Linked DNA regions of Solanum lycopersicum. The main gene of each other region encodes a partner of the protein of the gene in region 6 in a complex. Links are inferred from orthologs where the notes say so. Each region holds a gene or a part of one and is shown on either strand. Other genes may lie near its edges.

Region 1 (3,434 bases), on a different chromosome or scaffold from region 6:
TGGTCTGTTAAGGTCGTTATCGAACTCCTTTCATTGCTTCTAGAAAATAGTCATTTTTATTTTGTATTGATAAATTAAAATGTCATTTAACATAAGTGTAGATGTGATACAAGTAACTGGGCGTAATAATGTGGAAATGGTCTGCAAACTAGAATATCATATATGGTTGTCATCCCAAATCAGCCTTGGTTAATTAGATTGTCTAGTGAACTTGCAGCTTTCACCCTACTTTTTTTAACGCACCCCAAAGAAAAAGGAGTAACTTTCAGAATTGTTTTTTTTTTCTTAAAAAAAAAGATCAGACATATGAATCTTCCTTTTTAGTGTGATTGTTAGTCTAGTTTTTGTAACCCTAGATTGAATGCAATATGCTAGGATCTTTTTTATATTTGGGATGTGGTCACAATTGCAGTTTTGAATGTTTTGGTCTTGAAATTTTTCTTTGGAACTGTAATCACTATTTCGGCACGCTAATTGTGTTGCAGCTAAAATTCTACAGGTGAAAAGTTCGATGAAGCGAAAAATGCAGGAGCTGATATAGTGGGTGGGGAGGATTTGATAGAACAGATAAAGGGAGGATTTATGGAGTTTGACAAATTGATTGCAACACCAGATATGATGCCTAAGGTGTTTCTACAGTCTTTGCTATTAAAAATGTCTGACTTGCCTTTGATGTTCAATTTGATCTCCTTTTTCATTTTTTATACTGTCTTCGACAACCAGCCTATGAACTTCTGTCTCTTGGTTTTAAGAATCTCATATTGAAGTTTGCACAAGGCAAAGAGCGACTGTCTGTCTCAAATAATTCAGCATATCTCGCTCCCAAAGTTTTTGTGCATGCGTTTGGGCCTTGTCAACCTGGATATATAACTTAACAATGCGTAGCTTGTTCTGAACCAACTCACTTGACCTGGTGAAAAGCTCTAGCTGTTGTATCTTTTCTTCTGAAAATACTTCACAACTAAAATAATGATTTGGTTGAATAAAACATATTTTGTTAAATTCTATCATTCCCTTCGGAGTCTTTCTCTGTCATTCCATGTTCATTTGTTCATATATTTTGCTAGGTTGGTGCTCTTAAAATTCCTTGACCTCAAAATCTGGCTAGTCAGCATCTGCATATTTTCTAGCAAGCCTTCTTTCTGAAAAAGTTAAATCATAAAATTCTGTTGTAACATTGTGCATGAGTTTTACATTCTTCATGTGCCATATCTTGGAACAGCTTCTGCATTGTATATTTGTGAATTATGGTCCATCTTACTTTATCATAAATCTAATGCTGCAGGACTGATGGCAATATTAAGCCTAACTTAAGCTGAGTGATTAATCGCAGAGGCTCCTCTCCCCGTCTTACCATTTTAATGCTCACTGACAGCTGATTCAAAAAATTGAACCTTTTTAAGTGACTTGTCTAGAAATTAGTTTTATTAACACCTGAACAAGTATCTGTGGCTCATTTTACGTAATTTTTTTGTGAATTCATATTGATACATTCTCTACTATTTGCGGCAGGTTGCTAGCTTAGGTAGGGTCCTTGGTCCTAGAGGACTCATGCCAAACCCAAAAGCTGGTACTGTCACTACAAATATACCTCAGGTAACGTGTCAAATATTTTCTTCTTGTGAAAAAGTTGAATCAAAATACTCTCTTTCTTATGTTCTATGTGCAATGGTGGAATCCCTAGATCTTTATATTAAATGGGAAGCCACACCATATATATCCTAGCTTGGAAGTTATTCAGAGTTAACAAAATGTGAAACAATGTAGTTAATGAGTAGGCAGTGATGATTCACTTAATGGACTATTTTCTTGCTCCTTGAAAATGTTTTCAAGTATGTAAACTTGTTGTACTTCCTCCAGGCTATCGAAGAATTCAAAAAGGGTAAAGTAGAATACCGAGCAGATAAAACTGGAATTGTTCACTTGCCATTTGGAAAAGCAAATTTCTCGGAAGAAGATCTTATCATAAACTTCATTGCAGCAGTGGTAAGTTTTATCGTTAGCTCCTATTTCTTATACTTTTGTTCCAGAATAGTTTGAATATACCAACAACAACATACCGAGTAAAATTCTAAAAAGTGGGGTCTGGGGAGGGTAGAATGTATACAGACCTTACAACTACCTCATGGAGGTAGAGAGGCTGGTAGAAGCCATTGTAAATTAATTCAACTGCATTTCTTTGAATGAACAGAAATCGGTGGAAGCAAACAAACCATCAGGTGCTAAAGGAGTTTATTGGAAGAGTGCACATGTATGCTCGTCGATGGGGCCATCCATTCGGTTAAACGTAAGGGAGATGCTGGAGTACAAGCTTCCGAATGCTTAATTGAGCGAGACATGTATATTGTATCTTCTATCATCTACCTAAGTTTCTTCGGCGCCTTATCAGAGCTTCCATTTTATGAGAGTTAGGATACAAAGTAGGTGGAGTTTGAAAGGAGATCCAAACTTCATATTGTCAATATCAGTGTGGAAGCATTCATAGGCACAGTTGCTAAGAGAATAATTTTGTTTGATATTGTCAATGTTTATGTTCAGTTTAATTCTTACTAGGTGCTAATGTACATTATGCTTCGATTTGCTAAAAGGGGAGCTAATTCAATTTTCAGAAGTTTTATATGCTGCAAGATTCTCTAATTTGTGTTCATCTCTTGAGATTCTGCCAACAACTGATTGAGCTGAATAAACCTATCAGTTTTTAGTATTTTTCTTTACTTTACCACTGTGGAAAAGGGTCATACGCATGTACCCATGGGGTGGTAGTTAATTTTTTAGGATAATTTTTGTCCTTCATCACTTGCGATAACAAAAAAGTCGTCTGAAAATACTCTTAACATCGAAAATAAATAAATAAAATAAAAAACCACAAGACAATTTTATTTTTTCGTATCTAATCTAAACAATTTATGTCTCTTATTCCTAAAGAACGAAGCATAAAAGTTCAATTCATAATGCCTTATTATAAAACATAAACTTAGTTCTGGCATAACTCATGAGTTATGACTTATAAGACATAACTTAGTTTCTATGGAACTTATGTTTATCGAGAAATGTGTTCAGTCTTAAAACCCACAAAATCATGCCTCAACAGACTTAACTTATTTCTACAAGACAAAATGTTCTCTAAACTTACGCCTTACGAATGATAACATACAACTTATGTCAAATAAAACAACAAAAATCTCTAAGATTAGGTCATAACTAAAGACACTCTGATCCATAGACATGTACAAAAAGTTAAAAGATTACTAATTTAAGGATAAAAATTAAAGATCATCAATTCGTGAGAAAAAGTCAAAGACTATTTTTTGGTCCATATGAGACAATAAATCCCAATCACATAATCAACCCAATTTAGAGCCACACAGTTGGTGAGGTCTCTCCCTTCCAGTTTGTAATTGGAGGCCTATCATTCTCTTTCCTTTTCCAACTTT
Region 2 (5,063 bases), about 1.5 Mb from region 6:
TCACGTTTGTCCTAGTGGAAATCTCCTGCTACCGTATATTACTGATTCACTCACCTCTTTGTTCTTTGTTATTTCCTTTTTCAGGCAGTTCCTCCAGTTGTACACCGGGATATTAAATCATCCAATATTTTGTTGGATCAGTCAATGAGTGCCAGAGTATGTTTCTTTTTTCTCACTCCAAAGTGAAGTAACCAAAGAATAGGTTTCTTTGGTTGATAATAATGAAATGGCACATTTTGAGGCGGTCACACTGAAGATTTTGACCATTCTGAGTTTATCATAATGAAAATGTCGACACCATTTTGAGCTAATGGTATTAAGCATAACTGCAATCTTGGGTTTAATACACAGGTTGCTGATTTCGGGCTGTCAAGGGAAGAAATGGTCAGTAAACATGCATCCAACATCCGTGGAACATTCGGATATCTTGATCCTGAATATATATCAACTAGGTCCTTCACTAAGAAAAGTGATGTTTACAGCTTTGGGGTTTTACTATTCGAACTTATTGCTGGTAAAAATCCTCTTCAGGGGCTTATCGAGTATATTGAACTAGTAAGATCTCTCTCTCTTTCTCATTATGTGATGTGAAACTTCTTTTTTTTGTGGCACATGTAGAGAGCACTGATCTCGAGTAACTTTCAGAACCCCTCCACTCCCCCCCCCCCCCCCCCCCCCTCTTCCCCTACAACCTCTTTTATTGTGCATATGTTTCTGAAGCCTATTCAGTCATATAGAAACTAAGCTCCATAGGATTGATGATTGTAGGCAGCCATGACTACAGATGGAAAAGGCGGATGGGAGGAAATCGCAGATTCCCGTCTTGATGGGAAGTATGATCTGCAAGAACTTAATGATGTAGCAGCACTTGCATACAAATGTGTGAATCGTGCTGCCAAGAAACGGCCTTCCATGAGGGACACTGTGCAGGTTCTGTCAAGGATACTCAAGTCTAGACACGAAAGAAAACGCCAGAAGCGATCTTTATCTGCAACAGCAGAGGAGATTACCATCAATGTTGAACAAGTAGATCATCGGAATCCAATCTCTGGACATCGACGTGTTGAATCTATAGATAGCACAGCTGACTCGTATGAAGTTTAACTCAGTTCTTCCATTTGTTTATTTTTTTGTTTCATCTTGTAAAATTGGTCAGGTTGTTAGGTTTCTTATTTACAAAAACACACTTTTGTCTTGGTGAGTTCGTTTGGGATACTTAGGGGTATGTTATAGTCTGAGTGTATGATAGCCTTTGTTCCCAATTTTGTTCTAAGTTTTTGTAAATTTGCGTGGAAGGTTAATGAATGGTAGAAAACGGGGAAAATCCCAGATCAGGCTTTTCCACTTCTTCTACATTAGTATCCTATTCAATCTAATTTTATTAAAAAAGAACCAAGCTTTTTTTATTTTTTAATCCCCCGATACTTTTTTTCAATATATTTATTTGTTCAATTCGTCTTTTATATGTTTTGTCAACCTATAAAACATTAAAACTTGATCATTTTTCCCTTCTTAAATTAGGGCAAATTGATACTTTACAAATTTATAATTACAAAAAATCTTCAAAACGGATACAATAATACAAGCGTTGATACATTAATCTAATGCGCGAGATGCAATAATTTAATGTATGAGATACACTAATCTGATGCGTGAGGTACATTTTATATATGATACACTAATCTGATGCGCGAGGTACATTTTATACATGATACACTAATCTGATGCGCGAGGTACATGATACACTAATCTGATGCGCGAGATATACTAATCTGGTGCGCGAGGTACATTTTATACATGATACACTATATGATGCTCGAGATACATTAATCTAATGTGCGAGATACATTTTTATACATGATACACTAATCTGATGCGCGGGATACAATAATATGATTCGCGATAGAAATTGATGTGATGCATGAAAATTGTGAAATTTTAGAAATTTGTAAAACTTATAAGGGATAATGATAATAATTAAACTAAAAGGTGAGATTTTCGTAATTAATCCACAATCCCGAAATAGCTGAAAAGGGACTTTATAATTGGGCCGTACTCGACCCGTTGAAGGTCCAATTAAGTTGGATCGGGTGTCCAGGGATAGAGAGAGAAGAAGACGAAGGTTCTGGTTTTTATTATCCTATCCAAATACTCAGCTCAGTGTTGTTTCTTCCTTCAACAAAAGGATTTTGCAGAAGGTTTTGAACAATGGCGGCTCTGCAGAGCTCCTTTACTGGTCTCTCCATCTCCTCCACCTCCTTCTTCGGCCAACGCTTCTCTCCTCCTCTCTCCCTTCCTCTGGTATGCTTTCTCATAACTTCAACTATCTGGTTTTCAAACTGAACTATCTCAAATGTTAATTGTTTTGTTTCTACAACTGTATCATTCGGTCCAGCTTGCTCACAACTCGACTAATTACGTAGAATACCTGCTACCTCTAGCCAGAATTGAATTGTGTTGCAAGTAACTTTCTCCATCCAGTCTTACATAAATGCGAAGAAATAAACTAGTGTATTGTGATTTGAACCAATAAATCGTAGTTGTTCACCACTGCATTGACCACTAGGCTATATCCTATCTGTTTATCTCAATTTCAATTGTCTTTGTGAAAGGTCTTTGTTTGAATAATTTGATTTCTATGTATTAGGGATCATAGGAACAAAGGTATCCATTTCCATTGTACTATTGATTATAAATTAATTTTATATTATTTGATTACAATATATTGTGAACTTTTTCTCTGCTTGGTCACCATTGCTACCTGAGTCCTTTCTCATATCATATGTTTTTTCGCTATTATAAGTTTTGACTGCGTGTTTGGTACGAAGGAAAATGTTTACCTAGAAAACAAATGTGGAACTTACTAATTTTCTAGTGTTTATATGGTAACTAAGCTAGATAATATTATTCCAAGAGCATTTATATGTTATATATCCAACAAAATACTATGGAGGCGAGATGGGATGGGGAGTGGGGATTCGGGGATGGACGGACGTGATATGGTCAAGAAGTGGGAGTTGGAGGGATTGGGTGATGATAACTTGAAATGCTACTTATCCATCTTGTTTTTCTTACTTCCACTACGGAAGTCATTTTCTTTATTTTGAACTTGAACTTGTTTTCCTAAAGAAAATATTTTCGTAACACAGGAAAGTTGGAACTACATACCAAACACAGTGTATTTCTAGCTGCAAGAGAATAATTTTATATATAAAGACATCTACAATTTGATACAGTAGTTCCTCAAAAGTTCTTCAAAAAGTCAAGTATATTAAGAATATGCTAATTGGTTAACTTAAACTTACCCCCTCTGTTGTGATTGATGTCTTCCAAGTTCTAACATAGGATGAACCCTGTATTTGACTTAAGGTTCGAAATTTTAATATTTGGACATATTTATCAATTTTTTAATACATATATAGGGTCTGAGTTAAAGCTACTGGGTGCTGCTGAACCCATATTATACATATGCCTCTGTGTTCCTCGATAATAAATCGTTCTCATATTATAGTTACCTGTATAATCAGAAGTTATTGGAAGCAAATATGGAATAAGATCTGTCTCCAGAAAATGCACTTGCTTGTTATTCGGTTAACACTTTTTGGATGTATATCACGCCTTACGCAGTTTGTCACTTTTTATTGTGTCAACTGTAAAACTGGATAATCTTTTGCCACTTTAATGACAATCTCCATATAATGCCGTGCAGGTTAAATCAGCAGAAGGTCCATGTTTGATTACAGCAAAGGTTGGTATCTTGATCCATTTTGGTCCTTTAGTATATTGTCCGAGATAGACATTTCCGGCAACTACTTTTATAGGGTTGCTGTTAATGTGGTCATGCATTTCTTTTATAACTTATGATGTAATGAAGGAAGTGCTCGAACTAACTTGTCAACAGCTTTTAAAAATGGCCACCAAATGTTTGTATTGCTAAACCTTTGGTACTAATTTTTATGGGTATGATATTCTTTTAGCTGAAACAACAGTTAATGAGAATTGTGATTAGAATTAGCTTTATCATTGAATAAGAGCTTCTTTTTATGTCTATTTTGCAGCTTAAGCGATGGGAGCGTAAAGAATGTAAGCCAAACAGCCTTCCAGTACTACACAAAATGCATGTAAGGCTGGGTGATACTGTAAAGGTAATCTCCGGCCATGACAAAGGTAAAATTGGAGAGATTACCGAGATCATCAAGCACAACAGCAAAATAGTAGTAAAAGAGGTGAACTTGAAAACCAAGCATGTGAAGAGTCGGAGTGAGGAGGAACCAGGCCAGATAGTCAAGGTTTTATCTCGATTTCTTTCTTCTCTATCTTGCCTAAAAATTGTTATCTTGAGATTTCATTTCGTCGTGGCTAGCATCGAATTCATCTTTGCCCTAACAAGAAAGTAAAACTTTGTGTTAAGATTTTAGATTGAACTTCCCCAAGTTGTTTGGATTGAGACGTAGTTGTTGTTATTGTTTCAGATTGAAGCTCCTATTCACAGCTCAAACGTGATGCTTTATTCAAAAGAGCAGAAGGTAGCCAGTCGGGTTGGTCACAAAACTTTAGACAATGGAAAAAGAGTCCGGTACCTCATTAAAACTGGGGAAATCATCGATAGTGCAGAGAACTGGAAGAAAGCAGTCAAAGAGAAGGGGAAAACAACAGAAGCAGTAGCTGCTGCTTCCTAGGAGATCCACTGGTCTGTAAATTCTAGTTCGATTTTGCTAATTTTGAATCTTCTCTCATTGATATATTATGATTCTGTTGTCACCTTCACCTTTTTAACTCAGTAACATAAGATTTTATATTAAAGTACATTTACTCAAAAATTCTGTTTGCCAGTACTATTACGTACTAGAGTTTGATGGTTAATGGGTCGAATACAATGATCTTTATGTGCTTTATGATTCGAGTTCTTGTCCATTTATCGATGATTCTTTCAACTGTTTCAAGAATGTATGTATGTATGTCATGATACAGATTATCTCATGCTTAGATAGATGCAAACATGGCTTGAAGGATCGAAACTATACGTTTTTACTTACTGAAACTGGAATATATCTATAATACAG
Region 3 (4,271 bases), on a different chromosome or scaffold from region 6:
TATGTATATATATTCTTCCTAGAGCCAAAGTACAAAAAAAGGGTAACTTTAATTTTATTGAAAATGTACAAGAAAAGATGACATTTCTCATAGATTGAAGTAGGAATCCAAAGACAATTGTACTATTTTTATAATCTTTTTTGATTGAGCAATCAAATATGTATGAAAAAAAACTTTAAGAATAAAATAGTAATTTCAAAGCCGTGATCGGGAATTAGTAAACTCAAATTAATTCAGATTCATATTAAAAAAATTCAGATAATGTAAAACACTTTTTATATATCAAAAGAAATTATATTCTATAACTCTGAATTTAAAATTTCTGATAAAAATATATTCGTACTTTCTACTCTACCACAACTTTTGAGGTTCCAATCCCATTCGATGTGAAATTCTTTTATTTTCACCTTTATTCAAGGTAAACTCATCCAAAATAAATAAATTATAAACGAAGTTCAAATAATCTAAGTAAATACAAGTATAGAAGAAATGAGCGAAATTAGGCTATAAATGTAAACAAAGACATGCCAGTGAAGAAACTGGCTAAATAATAAAGATTAGGTTTATTTAATGAAATGGGCCACTACGACGTTAAATTTTCAAAAAATTATCCAGCCCACAAACCAATTTAGACTTGGGCCTACCTCATTCCAGTCTAATAGACCCCAATATTTTCTTGGTAAAAATTTTTGTTGGGCCAATAAAATTTGATATAGTAAATTTCATATATAACAAATACAAAATTTATATTTGTATGATATAGCAAAGTTTGTATACTTGCGCTCGGTGACAAATATAAATATGCATAATTCCCTATATACATATACAAAGAAAGCAGTTGTATAATTCACTATACATATACAAAAGAAAGCAGTTGTATACAAAAGATAAATTGTATAATCTGCCATTTGTGTATGTATAAAACGAGAAAAAGAGAAAGACAAAAGAAAACTGAGCAGGAGAATATTTGTTTTGTATAATTACAAGTGTATAGGACGAAGATATATGTATTTACATGTGTATATACAATTTTCTCTCGCTTTATACAAACAGAAATGCAATTTATACATTTCGTTTCTGTTTGAATAAGCGAGAGAGGCGAGGGAGATTCGGGAGAGTGGTGAGTGAGATTTGAGATAGGTGAACAAAACTATATGTATCTATACAATTTTCTCTCACTTTATACAAACGCAAACACATTTTATACAATTGTGTTTGTATAAAAAACGAGAGAGGTGAGTGAGACTGTCACAAAACGAGAGTGGCGAGCGAGATTCCACCAGGGAGAGTGGCGGAAATAGCAATAGTTTGCTATAGGGTACAATTAAATCAAAGTATATTTATAACATTTAATTTAAATTAACAGTTTGCTATTATATACAATTTTCCTGATTTGATACGATCTTCATTCAATAATTTTTAGCCCAAAACTTAAGCTAACATTTAACCATAAATTTCATCATATGTTTGGCTTAATTTTTGGAAACATATTTCACTTTTTTTAAGAAATGTATACTAATAAGTTTTAAAAGTTATCAAAACTAACTATAAGTTTGTATTGCATAACAAAATAGAATAAAAAGATTCACTATCGTAACAATTAGTGTCCATGTCACTGAAGCAATATGGTAATTCAGAGATAGTGCAACAAGCATCATTGCATACATTATGAAGTAGACGAAACATATTGTTCGTCACTTTTATCAATAATCATATCGTCATTTTCTTATTTACTGAATATTACATCATTATTTTGATGTTCACGTAAAAAATTTTACTTGAAAAATCTATGGCGAAATGGATCCGAATTTTTTTTACTTAAACATTCACAAATTAAAATTTAGTAGAGAGAACTCTGTTATATCCACAAAGAACATCTTATCCAATTACCCTTTTATTTTTCACACACAGAGAGAAAAAGCTCAGAGAAAATGGCGGCTTCTCCTCTTCTTCTACACTCCACGGCCTCCTCTTTCTACAATGCTGAGTTTCCGGCGTACTCCGTTCGATTGCCGGTCGGAAATACCAAGGTCCGGTCGTCCAATAAATTGACGGTGAAAGCTTCAGCAACAGTACTAGTGGATAAAAGTGAAGCTGAAAAAGTTAATCGTCTGAAAACAAATTACCTCGAAAAGATTGTGCCGTTGTTGAAGGAAGAATTCAGTTACACCAATATTCTTCAGGTAAACTTAGGAGTCGTTTGTCCATTGCATTTTTTTTCCAGAACAGATAAAAATTAGGGCTTGGGAAAGGGAAAATGGGGGAATTGAACAAATTTTTCAGTTTTTAAAAAAGCTTAGTGCAGGTTCAAACACAAATTCAATTTTCAATTATACTTTTCAAGTTAATTTCAATTTCAAAGCATATGTACTTCTTTAGCTTCAAATTTTACAACTTATATCTACAAATTTGAACTGTTTCTTGTTTGTTTGATTAAATGTTGAATTTTAGAGTTGAAATGCTGAGAAATTAGTTTGTTTGACACTATTATCATTTGAGGAGTGAGAAATCACAGTGAATATTAGTTGCATTGACCTATTGCTTCAAACTCTATTATTATTTTTTAGTTTTAATTTGATTTGATACGGAATGTGGAAAAACCGTGTTTTAGGTTCCGAAGGTCGAAAAGATTGTGGTAAATTGTGGTATAGGAGATGCTGCACAAAATTCCAAGGGTTTGGATGCAGCAATGAATGATTTGGCCTTAATTACAGGGCAAAGGCCTGTGAAGACTAGGGCTAAGAATGCTATTGCTACTTTCAAAATTAGAGAAGGTCAACCGCTTGGAATTGCTGTTACACTTCGAGGGAATGTAATGTATTCGTTCCTTGACCGGTTAATTAATTTGGGGCTTCCTCGAACGAGGGACTTTCAAGGCGTAAACCCCAATAGCTTTGATGGTCATGGAAATTATAGCATTGGCTTTCGTGAACAGAGTGTCTTCCCAGAGTTAAGTTATGATGCTCTTGGTAAGCCAAGAGGGATGGATGTTTGCATAACAACAACAGCTGAGACAGATAAAGAGGCACACAGATTGTTGGCTCTCATGGGTATGCCATTTAGAGAAGGTTCTGGTGGACAGACAACTTTTACGAAAAAGAAAAAGCTTAGAGCTCACCATTTTGACTCGAAGGCGAAGCAAAGGTCTAGGAGATGAGGTGGATCCAATCTCCAGGGATAATGAGTTGATTTGTTGTTTTTTAACTGTTTTGTGGTTTATCAGTTGTTTTTGGCGTACAATTTGAATAGAAAAATCTGTAATTGCACTTTTACCATCTGGCTGGTGATGTCTCGAATATATGTTATTTACGTTTTCTTCCTCTAAAAAAAAAAAAATAAGAATTGTTTTTATCTCTAGTTAAGTTTTTACTATTCATGAATCTTGATTACTGTAATTTGTATGTTATTAAATATTTCCTACCCGCTCCCTTTTCTCGTCTGCCATTTACTTTGATTTCAGGCAAAGAGTTTCTCTTGTTAGCTCCACCATATTCACATTTAGGTGAGTTAACATCTCTGCTTTTATCTTTTATCGTATGTGATAAGGAGTATTTGCGGGCGATATCTTATTTACGTTTTCTAAATTTGTCCTAATGCTTAACACTTGATGTGTGTGAGGCTGTGGAGTCCCATACTTATTTCTACTCCCTGATCCCCCACCTTTCTCCTTTCTTCCTCTAAGGTTTATTTATATTCGCATATTAGAAAGTCACAGTTATTTATAGTATATACCATGTTGCTGAATCTTTATTCCCTTGGCTTCATTTTATTCTGCTCAAATTGTACAGAGTTTTTTCTTTCAAAGTGTGTATGAATGTGCTTTTTAGTGGTTTCAGGTTCTATGTCATTTGATTTGGTTTTAACCTGTTCTTGTAATGCTGCATTCTGATTTTGCTAGATCTCCATACTGGTACTCCAAGATAGATATCTAAGCCTATTCTTTGGTTGTTTGCCGCCCCTTAAAAAAGGAAAAAAGAAACTCAAAAGGGAAGCTGTTGTTATTTCTATCAAATTGAAATCATTCCTGCCACTTATGTTATTGTGAACACAGCCAGAAGATTCTGGGAGAAATTAAAGTAAAAGAACCTACTTTCATAGGGTACTTGTGTTGGTTTGGGTCAATAAAAACCTTGTTCTTGACGAGTTAGACTACAGAAAGTTGATGAAATCGAGGATGTGTTATATCCTTTAGATCGATGAAGAATTTAATGGTGGTGCTCATTTTTTGAGTGTATAATGTGTCTGGTAAAATATCCTTAGAGAATTGTTAC
Region 4 (3,483 bases), on a different chromosome or scaffold from region 6:
GATTGAATTGGTGTGATCGTGTCTTTACTTAAATTCTATTGTATGGTTTTTTTTATAAGGATAAAAAACTCATTTTATGTAATGATTGATTTGGTGTGGTTACGTATTTGCTTATTATTAATAGTTTTATTTTAATAGTTACTCTACTTTTTTCGTAGTAATTACAATTTTTTTATAGATTTATCATTCCGATTATGAATATGTGATATTATGTAATAACGAAAAACAATATAATCCAGTATTTTTGAAAACGTATTTGGGGCGAGTCTCAGGACGAGTCTCGGGAAGGGGCGTATCAAAAACACTTCGAGGTGTAAATTAAAGACGTAGATCCATTAGGCATAGGCATTAGCCCCAAGCATAAAAAAGTAAATCTTAGACGTAAAAACGTTCGCCCTTAATTATTTTATTTTTTTCTTCAAATCATATTCATGATATTTCTCAAAAAGTAATTATAGATTATTTTTTTTGTTCATTACCGATTATTAATACTTATCTCAAATAAAAATCATAAATCATTGAAAGATTTACTTTTGCTTATTTTATTAATAATTAAACTAAAAATTGAATATACATGTGATTATGCCCCTTAAAACTATGAGACTTACGTCTTGTGTCTCAGGACATACGCCTCACCATATACTATGTAAAAGATTTCACCTCACGCTCTGTCTTTACTATACAGATACAATCTATTCAAATATTATATTTATTAAAATAATATAATATAATATAATTGAAGCAAAGTCTAGGACCTGAGCAGAGAAAATAACAAAAATATCACTTGTGATTTTGATTACATTCAGAAATAATTTTTGAATATTCTTGACTCTTTAAATTTATTTTAAGCCAGCATTTTTAATTGATAAACTTGTAGATACAGATATACATACTTGAAAAAGGATTGACGAGGTGTAGAAGGAATAATATTGAATATGGTGAATTTTAGTAGTAAATAATTTAATTATTATTAATATTTGTATGAGTTATATTTGATAGGAGTATTATTTTATATTTAATATTTGATTTGACGTAAAGAAAATAATCTGTATTACATCAATTTTGAACAAAATTCTTTATTTATATAAGTATCTTTCACAAATATAGTAAAATGATGTTAAAAGAGTTTTGAAGAGCAATAGTGATTTTATTATGCTAATGCATGAATATTTTTTTTTACTAATATCCACATAATTCCATATCTTATATACACCTTAATGCCAAATACATCATATAATATTTGCATTGATTATACTTAATGCGACTCTACTATGAAATTCAAACAAAATTAATAAAATATTTTAATATAGAAGAAAAATTGATATGATTATTATATTATTTTTTTAAAAAAAAATTAATAAAGCATCTGAAAATAATGATAATATATATTTAAAATAACTGATCGAATCATAATTAATATCTTTAAATATAAGATAAAATAATTTTACATTTTATGAAATTATTATCTTTTATATATCATATCAAATCATCTCAAGAATTTTGTTAATAATAATAATAAAAATATATCTAACATAATTTTATAAATTAAAGACGATAAAATATATGTAAATATTACACCTATTTTGCCTTTTTTAACTTCTTTAATGGTTTGTTTGGTATGACATAAATATTTTCAAAAACATAAAGTTTATGAAATACCCCTAAATTCTATCTTAGCACAAAAGATAAGGCAATCCAATTCTCAAGCTATCATCAATGGAGGCTGCTCTCTTCAGCTTACCTTCCTCTTCCTCTCACTCTTACCCATTTTCCGTGAAATCCCACTTCAACAATCCCTTCATAATCCCCCATTCCAGTTCTCACCTCAAACTCAAACCCAGAACTCTAACTATTCGTTCAGCCATTAGCAGAACCAAGAAAGAAGAAACAGTCGAAACAGTGAAGCAACAGCTTGAAGATTGTTATCTCTTAGCTGGAATCAGTTACAAGGGGTTAACAGTTAAGCAATTTCAAGATCTTAGGGCTCAACTCCCAGAAACAACAAAGCTTCTTGTTGCTAAGAACACATTGGTACTTAAAGCAATTGAAGGGACAAAATGGGAAGCATTGAAACCATGTATGAAGGGAATGAATGCTTGGTTATTTGTTCATAGTGAAGAAATCCCAGCTGCTTTGAAACCTTATAGGACTTTTCTAAGGGAGAAGAAATTGGAAGATAATGATTTTACTGGTGGGGTTTTTGAAGGGAAGTTTTATGGGCCTGATGAGTTTAAGGTGCTTGAGAATTTGCCTACAAGAGCTGAGATTTATTCACAGCTTCTTGGGTCTTTGAAAGGACCTGCTTCAGCTGTTGTTGGGACTATTCAAGCTCCAGCAAGGAATTTGGTTATGGTTCTTAAGGCTTATGTAAAGAAATTGGAGGAGGAAGAAGGTGGAAGTCAATAATTTTTGTTGTAATTCTTGGATATGGTAAGCTAATACTATTGTCTATTTGGATCAATATTTGAAATTTTTCTGAGAGATGGAATTTTGTAAATTTTATGTTTTTGGTAGAATGAATTTATCCTTGGCCAATTGTTCTAAATTTGTGTCCTCGTATTTGGCGGATAATTATCTGGATTACTTCATAACTGTTTGAGAGGATTTATGTTATGTGAAATGTACTATTCTGCTCTTTCCATTATCACTGAACCAAGAAAATAGTCTGTATTCCTGCTTCAGCTCACTATATTTGTCAAATATTAAAAGGGCAGCTCGGTGCACTAAGATCTTGCTATTTGCTGAGTTTGGGCTTTGGTAGTAGTCTGGAGGAAGTGTGTAGCTTTATTCTTGCAGTTTCTTGCTATTGTTATATGTTGATCGCACTATATTGTTGACGTTATTGTTTCTTGCATGTATCCTCTGCAGTGCTTTCCTATTACTAGTTCTCATGTTTTCCTTATTGTCGTTTTCCCTTTTTGTTAGTACTTTCATTTACTTCACTTGAACTGAGGGTCTTTTGGAAACAACCTTTGTACCTCCACTAGGTAGAGGTAGGGTTTGCGTACACTCTACCTTCCCCAGACTCCACTTTTTGGGATTTCTCTGGGTGTGTTGTTGTTGTTGGGAAATGCCGGACCACGTTGCATCTATTGTTAGCTACTTTAGTTTGCATTTCTGCAAAAGGTTGTTTCTGTGCTTAAACCATGACCTCTTGGTGAATTGGGCAGCAACTTTTGCGATTGTACCAAACTCTCCTCTTCCTATGTAGTAAAATAGGGTAGAATATATAAAAAGAAAAGAAACAGCAGCATCAATCCTACCTCTTATAGGACGCATCTTCCACTTTGTAAGTGAAAGGGCTGAATACTCTGGCTTTGTCACTCAGTCCTTTATCTCCTCTTTTCCCCTTCCAGCATTCCAAGACTTACTTTAGTTTTGCATGGCTATAATCTGGTGGATGACTTCTCTTTAGAAATAAATTTAGTGCCTTTTGTTTAGGGAAAGGATGGACTAGTTGTTATGGTCGGTGAATAAAATTAT
Region 5 (4,875 bases), on a different chromosome or scaffold from region 6:
CACCAGAGTCGGGTTCCGGGTCGGAGTATTTGTTTTGGGATCGTATAATAAACTCGCCATAAAATGTAAGATTATTTTATTTCAATTTTGATATAGGGTATTACATAGTTTGTTTTTTTTTCTTTTGGATTATTTATCCTACTATTTTCGTCCCTGGGCTGACGAAATAAGTTATGTCGTATGGCTGATGGAATAACTTTTTTTCAAATTAACTTATTTTTAATAAGATAACCACTAAAAGGGATGAAATATTTTATTTTAAAATTAATTATAATTACACTTAATTGTTTTCACAGTCACTATTTTTATACGAGAGATGAGATAAACAAATTTATCCTATTGGATTAATTTTCTATGGTATATATAATAAGATAACTTATCATATGACCACAGATTATTCCAAATTTAATATTCCTTCTAATATCAAATGAACCCTTTTATGTACTACTCATTATTCTTTTAAATATACTCTCATCCTCCTAATTTATATGAAACGGTTGTTAAACAGTTTAAATTTGATCATAAATTTGCTGATAAAATCTTCAAATTTCCTTAAAATTAGAAGATTTCTCTTACTACTAGCTTCTGCGGCGGAATAACGTGGAAGGTCTCTGAAATTGGATTATTTTAGTTGTGATTTTACCAACTGAACACTTAAACCGAATGAAAACTCAAAACTCTTTTGGTTGTGCTATTGTGCAAAGCTGCATCTTCTGAATCATACATTTCATTCTGTACTCATACAAACTGTGACAAAGACTCATGCTTTCAGTAACACAATTTACAAACAAAAAAAGACAACAATGGCAGAAACACAGTTTAGAAAATGTGCCTGCAAATGTGTTCCCAAGTAGCTACTAGCAATAACCAAAACGACAACAGAATGTTTGAAAAATCGAAAGACCATTATCAGCAAGTGGTGATGGGATTATCTTCAGAGGATTCAGCAGCAGAAGCAACTATCAACTGAGGCTCAGGGATGACACCTTCTCTTCGTGCCTTTCTACGTTCACGTTGTAATCTGAAGGACTCTCTCTTTCGGTTTCTATAGCTGTTGGGGTTTTCAGGTTGCACCTCGCGTGGATAAACACTTATCTGCACAGTCAGTATACGTTAATAACACTCGTGTACCACATATCTACAAGCAGTAAGCTAAAGAACTCAACCTTTTTCCTGTCAGGTCCAAACTTTTCAAATTTGACTAGTCCATCAATCAAAGAAAATATTGTGTGATCTTTGCCAAGTCCAACATTCTTTCCTGGGTGGAACTGGAAATATCACCACGAGAACGATTAGGGAACAGAATATATGGCAATGCTAAACGGAGAATGCAACTTTTGAACTACTCTTAGAGCAAACAAACAGACGATAACAGGATCATATCAGAGCCGAAAAAAAGTAAAACTAATACCAACCTCTGGCATAAACCCTTTTACTATCTAACTGATAGAAGACGACATCTACTCATAGCATCATACTGTCAGAAACTGACACTTTCGGCAAAGAAAAAAAACTCAAGTCGGATTATAACAAATGTGCATTTCTTAAAGAGAACTTCCAACTATGTCTTCACGACACGAGCTCAAAACCTTAAACCTTATAGCAATCTGTTACTTCAAATGACAAGATATGTATCCCTCTAGTACCTTGTTTTGTACTCAATCTAACGCCCTCTAGACAATCCACATATTTCTAACAAATAATATACAAACCAAACGAAGAAAGCCAGACGAATGGAGCAGAGTTATTGACAAGATGCCAGGACCTAGTATGTTTGTGAGGTATTGAGCAAAAAAACTGGAATTACACTCTACTTGGGTGGGTTCATCCGAATTCATTTCAAGCACTATTAATTAATCAAAAGAACTATCAGAACTTCCACAGCAAATACGAGTTTTAGGCAAAAATAAAAAAGAGAGAGGAGATCCAGAAGAAGTAAAATTGAAACCTTTGTACCGCGCTGGCGAACGATTATAGAACCGGGCTTGGCGACTTGGTCACCATAAATCTTGACACCAAGCCTCTGTCCAGGAGAATCTCGACCATTCTTAGTGCTACCAGCTCCTTTCTTGTGTGCAGACTCAATTGTCAATGGAGATTTCAACGGGAAGGAAACGGAGAACTTAGGGGCAATGGGAAGAGAAACCCCAAGGAGAGAATTGGAAGATAAGGAGAGTCCTTTGAATGAGGAAACAAGACTCAAACTCACTGCCATTTATACGCTGCAAAGAAAACAAAGAAATTCAGTAGCCTCTCGTGGTACTTACTATCAGAGATGAGAGGCCTAAAGGAAAGGAAGTGATATTTAACAATGGGAAAAATATGAGCATAGAACTACTAAGAGGACAAAACTATTACCATAACAACTACCAAGGATCTTAATCGCCAATCTAAAATTTCCCCGGATCATCGCGAACACAAATTGGAGAAATATATTTTTGATAGTAAGTCTACAGAAGGTTTGACTCTGACTTTAACACTGCTCGGTATGACTAAAACAGTAGAAGAGTGATAAAAATGGTCCTAAACATATTTCCTAAGAAAAAAAGTTTTCCATCAAAAGGGGGAAATAACTACTCTCACTTATGAGATAAGTCATTTCCTTTTACTACGATTTCAGCTCTTTCTCCTTATCGCTCGCTCCAACCACTGTTTAGATAATATTGTCATTTCTTAATACTCAGCTTTATCAAAATATAAAACCAATTTGCTGAGCTTATTATCAATCTTCAAAAAAAATACAAAACACACACTCCTAACAATAGAAGTACCTTAAGTCCTCATTACAACTATCTTTACTCCATTATATATCTCTTGCATTTCAATACACATTACTTCCACTCATTGTTTTTCTTTTCAAAATTACACCAAACATCAACCCCCCTCCACCACAAACGCATTTCGCAAACTCTACACCACAAAATATTCCGCAAATAAGTCCTTACGCAAGCAATTGGTCATAAAAGAACCATATTTAATCATAAAGGACAAGTCTTTAAACCACAAAACAAAGAGGAATCAAAGGAAACCAGTATCAACAACAAAATAAACACTAGTATGTTCATCAAGATTGCAGTCCACCTAAAATATTAGTAGCGGTCAATAAAGTAGATTGATAACCATAACGTCTCAAGTTCAAATCCTAGTGAAGCATAAATACTAACCCCCTCCATTTCAATTTCCAATAGCAACTCTTCAATTCTAACTTTTCACATTAAACAACATTTTGATACATTCGACATAACATTAGTTTTACTTCAACCCCACTTGATTAAAAAAAAATCTTTACTTTCTTATATTATTTGCCAAAGTCGAACCACACAAACAAATTGAAATGGAGAGAATAGTAAACCAAGATTTGCGAGTCAGCTAAAATTAAATACATTTTCGAACACCCAATTAAACATAGTACAAGAAAAAAACATTGAATTTACAGAAGAGGGGAAAAGAGATGAACTCACCGAGGGGATTATGGAGCCACAATGGCAAAATCTTCGAGATAAAAAGATAAGAGAAATGTCAGCCATCCTTTTTATAATATACTTGACCCGTTTTGAATTGGGCTTTTTTTAGCTTGTTTTCGGGTTAAGTTTAATGGTTTCGTTTATCGAACATAAGTTATGGACATAAATTAATTTTGCTTATAAATATTGAAGTTGTAAATATTTTTATCGAACTTGTAAAGGGGAATAATATGATTTTAATTAGTAAAATAAAATGTTTTTTCAGATATCTTTTCTTCGAAACTAAAATCCAAGTGATTGTTTTTATATTTTTGAAAACGTTTTTTAATCTCAAATTGATATTCTGCGAAAAGTATTTTCAAAAAATGAAATCATATTTAAAAATTTTTAATTTAATTTTTATCGAGAAAATTTCATACTCCTACTTACGGGCATATATAATATGATTTTTCGATAAAAAGTATAAGAATAATTTTTTTTTGCATACCTCCATACAAGTACGGTTAAGAATGTCAAAATGAGCCTAAATATATATAACTCGTCTAACTCATTTAAAATTTTATAGGCGGGAGCTCTAGATATTTTGAATTGGATCAATCTCAACTTATTTACGTTTTAGCCCATTTTAAAATAATTTTTAATTGTGTCCAATGTAATCTCTAATTTCAACATGTTTTAAGAGTATTTTTTGTATTGGTGTAATTTATGTTCTCATATTGAATGCATAAATTAGAATCTATTTTATATTTTTTATGATTTATATATCAATTTTATAACTGTTTTTATTGAATTAAAATTCAAATAATAGTTATTAAAGGAAAATAACAATATGTTTAAATTATTGAGATTAAACATGTCAAATCGCACAGGTCATGATCCAATCCAATGTTTATCCTATTTGAGCCTAACATAATTTGAAGAGGTTATGATTCGACTTAAATTTTATTTGAACTCATTTTAATATTTTAAATTTTAATTCAACCCGATTATTTAACACGCCGACCTACAATAATGCCACATTATTCTTGAAAATTGCTCATATTATGCTTCTTGAACTAGTTAGTGGAATTGATTGCTCGAGTCAAAAGTTGTGTTGGTAAATTAAAGGATTTAAAAGAAGAATATTTAAAGTAAAATAGATTGTTTAATTTATTTACTTTTATAGGACAAGAACAAGTGGAGAATATAAATGCCATGAACCTAATTCTTTCAAAGAATAAATATATTTATTGGTTAAAAAATAATATTAGGTGAACATTTTAAATATATCTAAATTTCAATATATAAAATTAATACAATAAAATAATTAAATCCAACATCATGCTATATAATCTATATGTGCAAATACATCAATGGTTTTAACATGTAATAGTAAAATACCGATAAAGATTGTGATGGAAAATTAAAATAA
Region 6 (4,513 bases):
GAAGAGTCCCAAATATATTTACTCACTAATTTCAAAGATAATTAACTCAATGTAAATAAATTAAGTATATAATAAGAAGAAAAAAAATTGCACTTTCTCGATTTATCAAAAATGACAAGTAAAATAGAAAAAAATTGACAAGTAAAATGAAACGAATGAAACAGTAAAATGAGCAAATCATTAACTTGTTCGGAGTAAAAAAAAGATTATTCAAATTATATTTTAATGAGCTAATTTTATGGTTATCATATGCACCCCATGTGGTAGGATCAAGTTGTCTACTTTGATATGCCTATTTATAGGCCATTTTTTCTTGAGAGAATACATTGTCACTTGCTTTCTTTTTTTCCTCTAATTTTTTTTTTTTATCAATTAAAGCTAATCTTCTCCAAAAAAATCTTTCAATTTTTCAACTTCTCTTTTATCTCATATTCAACATGTCAATGGCCACATATTGTAATAATGAAAATCTTGCACTTAGCAATATTGAGAACGATGTTTTCATGTCATTTCTTGAAGAACCAGAATTTGAGGCAAGTGATGAAGAGTTATTAAGAAGTGTGATTGAGTCATTAGAAGTAGAGAATATTGTTCCTAGTGTTAATACAAATGATTCAATTTTGTTTGAGCAAATGAAAGTAGAGAATTCAACTAATTTGTCTTGTGATGATCTTGGTGAACTTGAATATTGTTGGATTGATTCAGACATGGATTCTTCAACTCCTAGTGATGATGATGATATGAATATTTGGTTCAAGGATTGTTACTATGATCAAAATGGAGTTGAAGATTTCACTAACTTTGTTGGTGCATGTAGGGAGTTTTCTTGGGAAGAATCTTGTGAATCTATGCTTTATGCGCCTGATGTCTGATATTCATATTGGAGCTCAACTAATCTGGATTCACATTAGTACTGAGGGATTCATTGTTTCCTCGTAAAGGTGACTTTGTACTTTGAAAGATTCAAATCTGAAATCTCTAATTAAGGATGAAGGAGTACTTATAGATAGTCATTGAGATAGGAGTATTGATTAAGACGTTTTTCATGGCAATTGTAAATCCCATATTAGTATAAATTCTTTTTACTAAAGACCTATGAACTTTCTGTTGCTTTTAATTCAATGTGGAATAAGCATAGCTTACCTAATTTTAGGATGTAAGCTGCAGAACCTATTTTTATGGTACATTTGAAATTATTAGTTCAAAATTTAATTGAGTTTGTTAAGTTTCAACATAAGTGGAACGAGGAGAAATTGATTTCTTTATATACTCTTGAACAATCATATCTCCTCGATTTATCTTTTGAATTGAGTTAAATCTAATATGGTATTGAAGTTACGTCCATCTCACTTCATTATCATTTAATATTAGGTCTCCATTTTATATTGCTTACATTCATGATATCTGACCATGAACGTGCAAAGGAGCGTTGAGTCTTAAATTGATTGATAAGCATAAATAATCTTGAACAATTATTTCCTCTTGAGCTAGCTACGATGTTACAGTTAGATTAGATTCAAGGTTTGTTTTCTTAACCGAATTCAACATACGAGTTGGGCTTAGCGTATCATGGAAAAATTGGAAAGGGAAGGCAATATGTAGCAGGCTGCATCAATAGCGCCTCAAAATAAAAGAAAATGAAGGTTTTGGGCTTATGATGGTGTAGCCCCAACTAACAAAAGACTTGATCAAGAAAATTGTATAACTTTTATATTATATCAAAATTAATAAAAATAAAGAGCACATTTCATAAAAATTTTATTTGTCGCTTACGCTCTAAAAAATTTATTTTTTTTCCTACACAAAAGAAGATTTAATTATGTTCTTAAAGTATTGTAAATTAAATAGACATGCCCTTCAACTCTTCGTCAATAGTTTGGCTTATATATGACCTTATCATTTTGAATGTGTTATTAGTCTAAATGAAACATTTGATTAACCTCATTTGTTGATTCATAAGTGAAAAAATTATCAAATATACTCTGACAACGATAAGCATAGAAAGAATAGAATATTTGTAGACCTTATCACTATCTCGTAAAGCTAGAGAGTCTGTTACGTCGTAAAGTTGAAGAGTTCATTGGCGCAAAAGGATCGGTCCTTCACTTGCTGATCGTTCGCAAGTCGAACTCGCTCTCTTGCCACGCCTTTCACTCACTCGCTTGAGACGGACTCAATCACTCTTTGAGTTTGGAGGATTCACTCTCTTGTTATTACCCGCAGGGAGCGCATGTTTCCGCAAATATGTCCCTAAATTTATCAAATATGTGCTCAATTTCAAATACTTTGAGGGTATATATGACTTTTCCATTTTCACTAAATTTATTTGAACAAAGAATATGAATACATTTTGATATCCTTCTTCCTCATTTGTGGATAACCCAATCCATAGGCTTGCAGTTTGCTCCTTCACTGCAAAAATGGCTACTTCTTCTTCTTTATCTTTCTTTTCTTCCACCATTTTCTTCTCTAACTCCAACACCCTTCACTCCTCAAAGCAGCAGCAGCAGAAACAACTCATTTTCAAACCCAAACAACAACAATTCTCCATCCGTTCAGAGGCCGCCGCCGCCACTATTCCAATTCTGTCCTTTGATGGTACCGAAGTGGGCTCCACCACTCTCAACTTAAAATCCGCCCCTCTTGATACCGCACGCGCCGTCGTTCATCGTGGGCTTACCACTGACCTGCGCAACCAACGTCGCGGTACTGCTTCCACCCTTACCCGAGCCCAAGTACGGGGTGGTGGTATCAAACCATACCCACAAAAGAAAACGGGTCGAGCTCGACGTGGGTCGAACCGAACTCCTTTACGACCAGGTGGTGGGGTTGTGTTTGGGCCGAAACCTAAGGATTGGTCAGTTAAGATTAACAAAAAGGAAAAGAGACTCGCGATTTCTACTGCGCTTTCGAGTGCTACACAGAATGCCATTGTTGTGGAAGAGTTTGATGATAAGTTTGAGAAACCGAAGACTAAGGAGTTCATTGATTTGATGAGAAGATGGGGATTGGACCCAAAAGAGAAATCTTTGTTTTTGATGACGGAAGTTTCAGACAATGTGATTCTCTCCAGCAGAAACATTAGCACATTGAAGATGTTGACACCCAGAACTTTGAATCTTTTCGACATATTGGATTCTGAGAAGCTGGTTTTCACTAAATCAGCTGTGGAGTTCTTGAATGAACGATACGGAAATGATGATGATGATGATGATGACTGGGAGGTGGTGGACGAGGAAGAAGAAGATGGTTAGTTTTTGCTTCATTTTGGGTATGAAGTTTCCTTTCAATTTTAGCTAACTCGTTAATTTGCTGCATTCAGGTGGCGAGGTGGAGGAGAGTGCTGAAAGTTCTGAGTAATATATGAACATGGGGCGAAAAGGGTCTGTTCCATTTTAGAGGAGGCTTTACCTTACAGGGAGCTTAGTATATTTCACTTTGAATTGTATTTTATTGTATGATAAAACTAGGTGATTTTGGTTGATTTCATGTCACTGACTGCATTTGTCCATTACCTTCGTTGGAATAGTTTACTCTTGATTTTCGTTCCGCTCTCATTACCACTTTGAGTTCTTGATTTTTATGATAAGAGTGATTAGTTACTTTACTAATTAAGTCTTGTGTTCTGGCAAAACTACATTAATTGCTTAGTAGATGAAGCTTTATATAAGATTTATGGGTTACAAGTTGTCAGCCAGGCGAGATTCAGCAAAGTAAAATGATTAGGAAAGCTTTGTGTTTGAGTCTTAGGCTTGAAGCAATTAAGCAAAGTTAAGAAAAGGAAACCTTTATTTGGGTGGAAAAAGCTTCATCACCTTTTTCTTTAATACAAACACAAAGTAATTGGCAGGAAAAAATGCTCTTTACTTTGTTTTGAGTCATTGGGGGCATATGGGATGCTAAGCATTATTAACCTTGAAACAGACCATATCTAGTAGACTATCTATGGAGGCAGATAACTTGGACATTTGTACTATCAAAATATGTGATGGAGAGTATATGAGTATCTCTAGGCTTTTACTAGAACTTTTGAGTTTAAGCGCTAATTGCTACTCTGCTTTTAGCCTCAAAATAGAAGGTTTGAGAATGAATCAATGGATTGCACAAACTATCTCATTGATCAATTTTACATATTTCAAAGCCAGGCTGTTTAAAAAGCAAAAGAAGAACAAGAAAAATGAAAAATTTACATTGTGGAGGGCTATGCTACACTGATGTCTGGAGAAAAGAAGTCAATGGTTTGTATAATGGCATTGAACTCATTTACTAGTCAAATATTTAACACGTGACGCTGAAACTTAGTTGTCTTAATTTTTCCATACATGATCTTTGGTGTAGTTTAAAAATTGTTATTATATTATTCAGAGACTGCTTCCAATTGGCTATATACCATCATTTACTATTTAGTCTTCATACAAATGGCATCACTTTTTGTCAAGCTTGGTAAATGCTATGAAAAATACAATAGCAAACTTCAGGATTCTAGCAGCAAGCATGTCTAGCTTTGACATCC
Region 7 (5,129 bases), on a different chromosome or scaffold from region 6:
ATAAAATAGAGAAAAATGTATAAATACATATAGTTTTGTTCCCTCTCTCCCCTCTTCCAGATCTCGCTCGCTACTCTCCCAAATCTCGCTCGCCACCCCTCGCCTTTATCACTTATACAAACAGAAGCGAAATGTATAAATTGCGTTTCCGTTTGTATAAAACGTGAGAAAATTGTATATACACATTTCTTCCTATACACTTATAATTATACAATAAAAATACTTTCCTGCCCGGTTTCTTTTGCCTTTCTCTCTTTCTCGTTTTATAAATTTTCAAATTGTATCTAATTTCTCTCTTTCTCATTTTATACAATTCGATTCAATTGTATATTTCTTGTCAAGTCTCTTTTGTGTTTCTCTCTTTCTCATTTTATACAAATTCAAATTGTATATAATCGTTCTACACACTTATAATAATACAATTCGTTTTATACACTTCGTTTTTATACAGTTCTCTGCCCAAGTATCTTTCTCTTTCTTGTTTTATACACTTCGTTTTATACAACTTGTTTCAACTGTATATGTATAGCGAATTATACAGTTTCTATGTTTGCTATAGGAAGCAAATATACAAAATTTGTTATAGCATATAAATATGAATTTTTTATTTGCCATATGTGAAAGTTGCCCTTATTTATATGTGTAAATACAAAACAATAATGTATGAGAGACAGAAAGAGTACGCTTTTACAAGTATGACTTTGATGAAAAAAATATGGCTAAGTGAATGTAAAATACTCTCCCTCCGGATTTAGATGACAAACTTTTTTTTAGTCAATTCTAAAAGAACGATACATTTCTTTATTTGATAAATAGTTAATGACACTGTCAATATTTTGTAGATGACTGGATCCCACTTATTCGACAAAACGTCTACAAAGTTGTGTTCTTTCTAAGGATAGTTTTGAGATATACAAAGTATTTTCATATTTTTTAAACTTCGTGTCCAATGTCCACTACTTAGTCAAGCAACACCACATGAATTGAGACGGATGGAGTATTATGTTGGGCTGTTTTTTTTGGATAAATTTTAGAAATCACATAATTTTAATATGAAATTATAATTCATCCCTCTTTAGTTTGTAATTTCATTAATCCCTTAAAAAGTAACACAAATCGGATACATTTATATGTAACTCGAATACATTAAAGAGTATCTTAGATGCATTATAGCATAAATCGGATGCATAATATGTAGTTCAGATACATTAAAAACTAGATCGGGTACATTATAAAATAAATCGCATACATAATATGTAACTCGGATACATTAAATACTAGCTCGGATACATTAATATGTAGCTCGGATACATTAAAGAAATAATGGATTTTAGAGGTCTTTAGAAATAAAAGGGGATATATGAAAATAAGGAAAATATAAGACGTGTATTTCAGTAAGGGTAAATGATAGAAATCTCACTTTTAAGTTCTCTTACTATTATTATCCCCTATTAGTTTTACAAATCTCCAAAATCCCTCATTTTCACACATCAAATTAACGTATCAGCACATCAAATTAATGTATCTCGCACATCAAATTAATATATATCACGCATCAGATTAATGTATATCGCGCATCAGATTAATGTATCTTGTATAAAGTGTACATCAGATTAGTGTATTATGTATAAATGTAATGTATCGTACTTAATGATTAATGTATCTCACACATCAGATTAATGTATCAAATGATACAATAATATATTATTGTATCATTTGAGAAATTTTTGTAATTATATACTTGTAAAAAACAAATGGTAATTTTGCCTTAAAAGTATGTGATTTCTGTCCTTCGCCCAAATAGCCTAAAATATTATAATTGGACTAAGAAATGGGCTTTACATGAATTGTCCCAATAAGTTTTGTTGGCCCATTAAGACATCCATTATCTTCTTCAGTTCGCCATTACAGATAAGATAACGCTATAAACTGTAAAAAATACAGAAAAACGGAGCAAAAAGTGAAGAAAAGAAGAAGGAAGACTTAGCTATGGCGTCATGGGGTTCATCTTCTTGTCTCCAAAATTACAGCTTAACCAAAAACCCATTTTCCGAAACAGTGAAATTTTCAGAAAGAACTTCAATTTTAACAATTGTTGCTCAGAAAAAAGCCAAGAAAGTTCGAAAGGTGAGCTAATTCTTGAAAATGTGATAATGGGTTGGATTTATAATTGTCAAAATCTCATTTTTTGTCCATTTATGGTTAATAGCTGAATTGGGTATTTTTTGTTTTGATGGAACAGATAATACTGAAAGAGGATATTTCACAGTTGGGTAAAAAGGGAGACCTTTTGGATGTTAAAGCTGGATTCTTTAGGAATTATTTGCTACCATTGGGCAAAGCTCAAATTGTGACAGCTGCACTTATCAAGTAACTCGTTTAACTCTACTTTGAACTAGATTTTTGCCATTTGATTTCATTGCCTTTTAGGTTCTTCTTTCATTAGCTGTACTTTTGTGGAGTTCGCGGTTGTTTGGTAGCTTGGTAGAGTTACGCAGGTATCAGTTATTTCGTCTTGTAACCTGCATAAGATAATACATTATATATTAGTTAGGTAGGTTTTTGAATTACAAATTAAACTTTGTGTTGATTTTATACATGAATAACTTATTCTCTAACTAACTGCCAAACATTGTATTACTTATACATTAAGTTAATATATGAGTAAGTTGCTTTTTTACTAGCTACAAAACACCCCCTTAATGTTTGTTAAAATTGGTTCTGCTTGTGTTGGATGGATTTTTAAGTATTCCTTTTGGAGACTGTTAGTTGATTTTAAGTGTTGAATATTCACATTTCCAATCACCCTGTATAGTTTAACGGCATAATCCACAGTGTGTCATGGACACCTGATGTTGATGTGGCAAATATATTTGGTTGGTGCCTAGATGATCATTTTGTAAGTTGGAGTGTTCAACTGACACAGTGGAGATGAGTTGAGGTGTAGATGTGCATACTCAAAGTTGGAGTGTTTTCTTGCTAGTTGATGCCGAGTTTGAGTGTTTTCTTGCTAGTTGATGCCGAGTTCAAGTGTCTGTTTCTGCATTATGACTAGTTAAATTATCGACTTAACCTTATTATTGAACTCAAGACTTTGGTTCTTCTGTTCGTTATCTTATTTTCATGCCTCATAATTAATGTCAGGATTCTTTGGTTCAACTATTTAAAATGCCACACACAATACTTTGCTTGGCTGTTGATGAGTGGAAGTATGTTATTACTATTGCTTGTTTTGTTTTATCTTTTATCTAAACCAATGGACCTATGTCGAATGGAGATAAAATAGGTATACTTAGTCTATGGGATCCTTTAAACTAATTGTAACTAGCTGAAAAGTGGACGGACCCATGGATTATACATATCTTCGTGCAAAGGTCGTACCAGAATAATCATTTTCGATACTCCTTGAGCAGAAACTCTGTATGGCTTTGGTGTTATAACTCTTGGTCAGTACACAAACTCTGTATGGCTTTTGTTCCCTGAAATAGTGCTTCGTATGATTAATGATTATAGGTTTAAGTAAATTCGCTTCTTTTAACCAAATATAATTTATTGATAACGGATTCGTCTTCAATACAATGTCCCACAATGCATAAGATGGATAATGGTTGGATATAAAACTTTAGATTTCCTACTACTTAGTGACTTTGTCTTTAGCTTTTGGGTGAGCAATAGGCCTAACCAGCTGTTAACATTAATGGTGTGATAGTCCTGTAAAAGTCTTATATATAAGGGATTTGCTATTTCATACTAAAGAACAAAACAAATAGGTGAAGGCTTCGTTAGAGATGGTTGTTAGAAGCAATTTTGGTTTGATATTTTTGATAGCTATTAGCGTGCTTCGCCATCAGTGAGAATTAACTAACTTCATGGATGCATTTTTATTTTATAACATTATGTACTTTTTACTCAGGGAAATGAAGATGGAAGACGAGAAAATTGAGGCTGAAAAACAACGGGTAATTAGATTATTCTGATTAATCTAATCTATTGAAAGTTGAAAAATATATACATTTTTTTTTTATTTTCAAGTCACTAAAAGTCTAAAAGAGTTTCATAATGAATGTGGTTTTAGTTAAACGTTTTTGATTTCAGGTGAAAGATGAGGCACAACAGCTTGCTCGAATTTTTGAAACTATTGGAGCCTTCAAGGTGAAGCGTAAGGGTGGGAAAGGAAAGCAAATATTTGGAAGGTCAGTGAAATACTAAATTGTGATGAGCAACTTGGTGAATATTTGATCTACCTTTTGACGTCATCTCTCTTGCAGTGTCACTGCTCAGGATCTCGTTGATATTATAAAAGCACAGATACAGAGGTACCATTTTCCAATCTTTCTGCCATAGCATGTAAATAGTAGTATGCGAACTAATTACTACTATATGTTCATTGAAGACTGTTAAAGTATATTGTCCTTCATAAGGTTGATCCTGTAATATGAATTTGCATGAACTTGAAAACTGATGTTCTCTGATTCATCTGGTTTATTAAGTAATTCAAATATTTTTCATGCAGTGCTTATTTTCTTGTGTGATTCCTTCTGTGCGATGTTACTTACTCGTTAACATCAGTCATCGAGAACAGTGGAGTATACTGATTCCATTTTCCGTCTATTGCTAGAGCAAAAACTGTTTTTTTGAAGCAATGTGATGTCTGTTTCTTGATCACATAGTAGCTTTCTACTACCCCTCTGTCCCCGAAAAAAGAAAGAGTAGAAAGGATTGAAAATCTGTTATCTACTTTTAATAGGAAGAAAAGTGAGGGGTGGGTGGGGATGAAAAAATTGTCGTATAAAGTCTTGAAGGAAATCAGATGTACTAACTGATTTCCTACTTTATTGTATATTCACACGCAATCTACTTGTAGGGACGTGGACAAGAAAATTGTCAATCTGCCTGAGATTCGAGAAACCGGAGAATATGTTGCCGAATTGAAGCTGCATCCAGAAGTTACAGCTAGAGTAAGGTTGACAGTGTATGCCAATTGAGATTAGGGGCTTTTTGGTGCAGTTGATGCCAAGTCAGGATTTTGCTGTATCGGCTCGCTGGGCCAAGGTACCATCTTTTGTTGATTCCAGTGACTATTATTCAAGCAAAGTGAATGGCTTTGGTGCTACATTAAATGTACATTA

The links.
Region 1: large ribosomal subunit protein uL4c (region 6) and large ribosomal subunit protein uL1c share a complex: the UniProt entries of both Arabidopsis thaliana proteins name them as parts of the 50S ribosomal subunit. The link is inferred for Solanum lycopersicum from reciprocal best matches to the Arabidopsis thaliana genes RPL4 and EMB3126.
Region 2: large ribosomal subunit protein uL4c (region 6) and large ribosomal subunit protein uL24c share a complex: the UniProt entries of both Arabidopsis thaliana proteins name them as parts of the 50S ribosomal subunit. The link is inferred for Solanum lycopersicum from reciprocal best matches to the Arabidopsis thaliana genes RPL4 and RPL24.
Region 3: large ribosomal subunit protein uL4c (region 6) and large ribosomal subunit protein uL5c share a complex: the UniProt entries of both Arabidopsis thaliana proteins name them as parts of the 50S ribosomal subunit. The link is inferred for Solanum lycopersicum from reciprocal best matches to the Arabidopsis thaliana genes RPL4 and AT4G01310.
Region 4: large ribosomal subunit protein uL4c (region 6) and large ribosomal subunit protein uL10c share a complex: the UniProt entries of both Arabidopsis thaliana proteins name them as parts of the 50S ribosomal subunit. The link is inferred for Solanum lycopersicum from reciprocal best matches to the Arabidopsis thaliana genes RPL4 and EMB3136.
Region 5: large ribosomal subunit protein uL4c (region 6) and 50S ribosomal protein L27 share a complex: the UniProt entries of both Arabidopsis thaliana proteins name them as parts of the 50S ribosomal subunit. The link is inferred for Solanum lycopersicum from reciprocal best matches to the Arabidopsis thaliana genes RPL4 and RPL27.
Region 7: large ribosomal subunit protein uL4c (region 6) and large ribosomal subunit protein bL9c share a complex: the UniProt entries of both Arabidopsis thaliana proteins name them as parts of the 50S ribosomal subunit. The link is inferred for Solanum lycopersicum from reciprocal best matches to the Arabidopsis thaliana genes RPL4 and RPL9.

Annotation. Positions count from the first base shown.
Region 1 is NC_090800.1:78,435,771-78,439,204, forward strand, and holds the end of large ribosomal subunit protein uL1c, read left to right. Parts: intron 1-499; coding exon 500-627; intron 628-1,512; coding exon 1,513-1,596; intron 1,597-1,860; coding exon 1,861-1,986; intron 1,987-2,191; coding exon 2,192-2,326; 3' UTR 2,327-2,637; downstream 2,638-3,434. UniProt on the Arabidopsis thaliana protein: This protein binds directly to 23S ribosomal RNA.
Region 2 is NC_090806.1:68,735,637-68,740,699, forward strand, and holds large ribosomal subunit protein uL24c, read left to right. Parts: upstream 1-2,078; 5' UTR 2,079-2,208; coding exon 2,209-2,301; intron 2,302-3,709; coding exon 3,710-3,748; intron 3,749-4,058; coding exon 4,059-4,289; intron 4,290-4,472; coding exon 4,473-4,679; 3' UTR 4,680-4,820; downstream 4,821-5,063. Other genes in the region: calcium/calmodulin-regulated receptor-like kinase, read left to right, coding at 85-156, 352-555, 769-1,104. UniProt on the Arabidopsis thaliana protein: One of two assembly initiator proteins, it binds directly to the 5'-end of the 23S rRNA, where it nucleates assembly of the 50S subunit. Required for optimal plastid performance in terms of photosynthesis and growth.
Region 3 is NC_090808.1:1,642,331-1,646,601, forward strand, and holds large ribosomal subunit protein uL5c, read left to right. Parts: upstream 1-1,762; 5' UTR 1,763-1,931; coding exon 1,932-2,183; intron 2,184-2,611; coding exon 2,612-3,157; 3' UTR 3,158-3,357; downstream 3,358-4,271. UniProt on the Arabidopsis thaliana protein: Binds 5S rRNA, forms part of the central protuberance of the 50S subunit.
Region 4 is NC_090803.1:3,525,785-3,529,267, forward strand, and holds large ribosomal subunit protein uL10c, read left to right. Parts: upstream 1-1,612; 5' UTR 1,613-1,716; coding exon 1,717-2,406; 3' UTR 2,407-2,545; downstream 2,546-3,483. UniProt on the Arabidopsis thaliana protein: This protein binds directly to 23S ribosomal RNA.
Region 5 is NC_090810.1:58,849,707-58,854,581, forward strand, and holds 50S ribosomal protein L27, read right to left. Parts: upstream 3,509-4,875; 5' UTR 3,462-3,508; intron 2,223-3,461; 5' UTR 2,216-2,222; coding exon 1,949-2,215; intron 1,269-1,948; coding exon 1,167-1,268; intron 1,096-1,166; coding exon 910-1,095; 3' UTR 687-909; downstream 1-686.
Region 6 is NC_090806.1:67,227,218-67,231,730, forward strand, and holds large ribosomal subunit protein uL4c, read left to right. Parts: upstream 1-1,929; 5' UTR 1,930-2,420; coding exon 2,421-3,249; intron 3,250-3,322; coding exon 3,323-3,360; 3' UTR 3,361-3,549; downstream 3,550-4,513. UniProt on the Arabidopsis thaliana protein: This protein binds directly and specifically to 23S rRNA. May play a role in plastid transcriptional regulation.
Region 7 is NC_090810.1:57,591,045-57,596,173, reverse strand, and holds the start of large ribosomal subunit protein bL9c, read left to right. Parts: upstream 1-1,844; 5' UTR 1,845-1,989; coding exon 1,990-2,127; intron 2,128-2,242; coding exon 2,243-2,370; intron 2,371-3,913; coding exon 3,914-3,959; intron 3,960-4,095; coding exon 4,096-4,193; intron 4,194-4,268; coding exon 4,269-4,316; intron 4,317-4,864; coding exon 4,865-4,985; 3' UTR 4,986-5,052; intron 5,053-5,129. UniProt on the Arabidopsis thaliana protein: Binds to the 23S rRNA.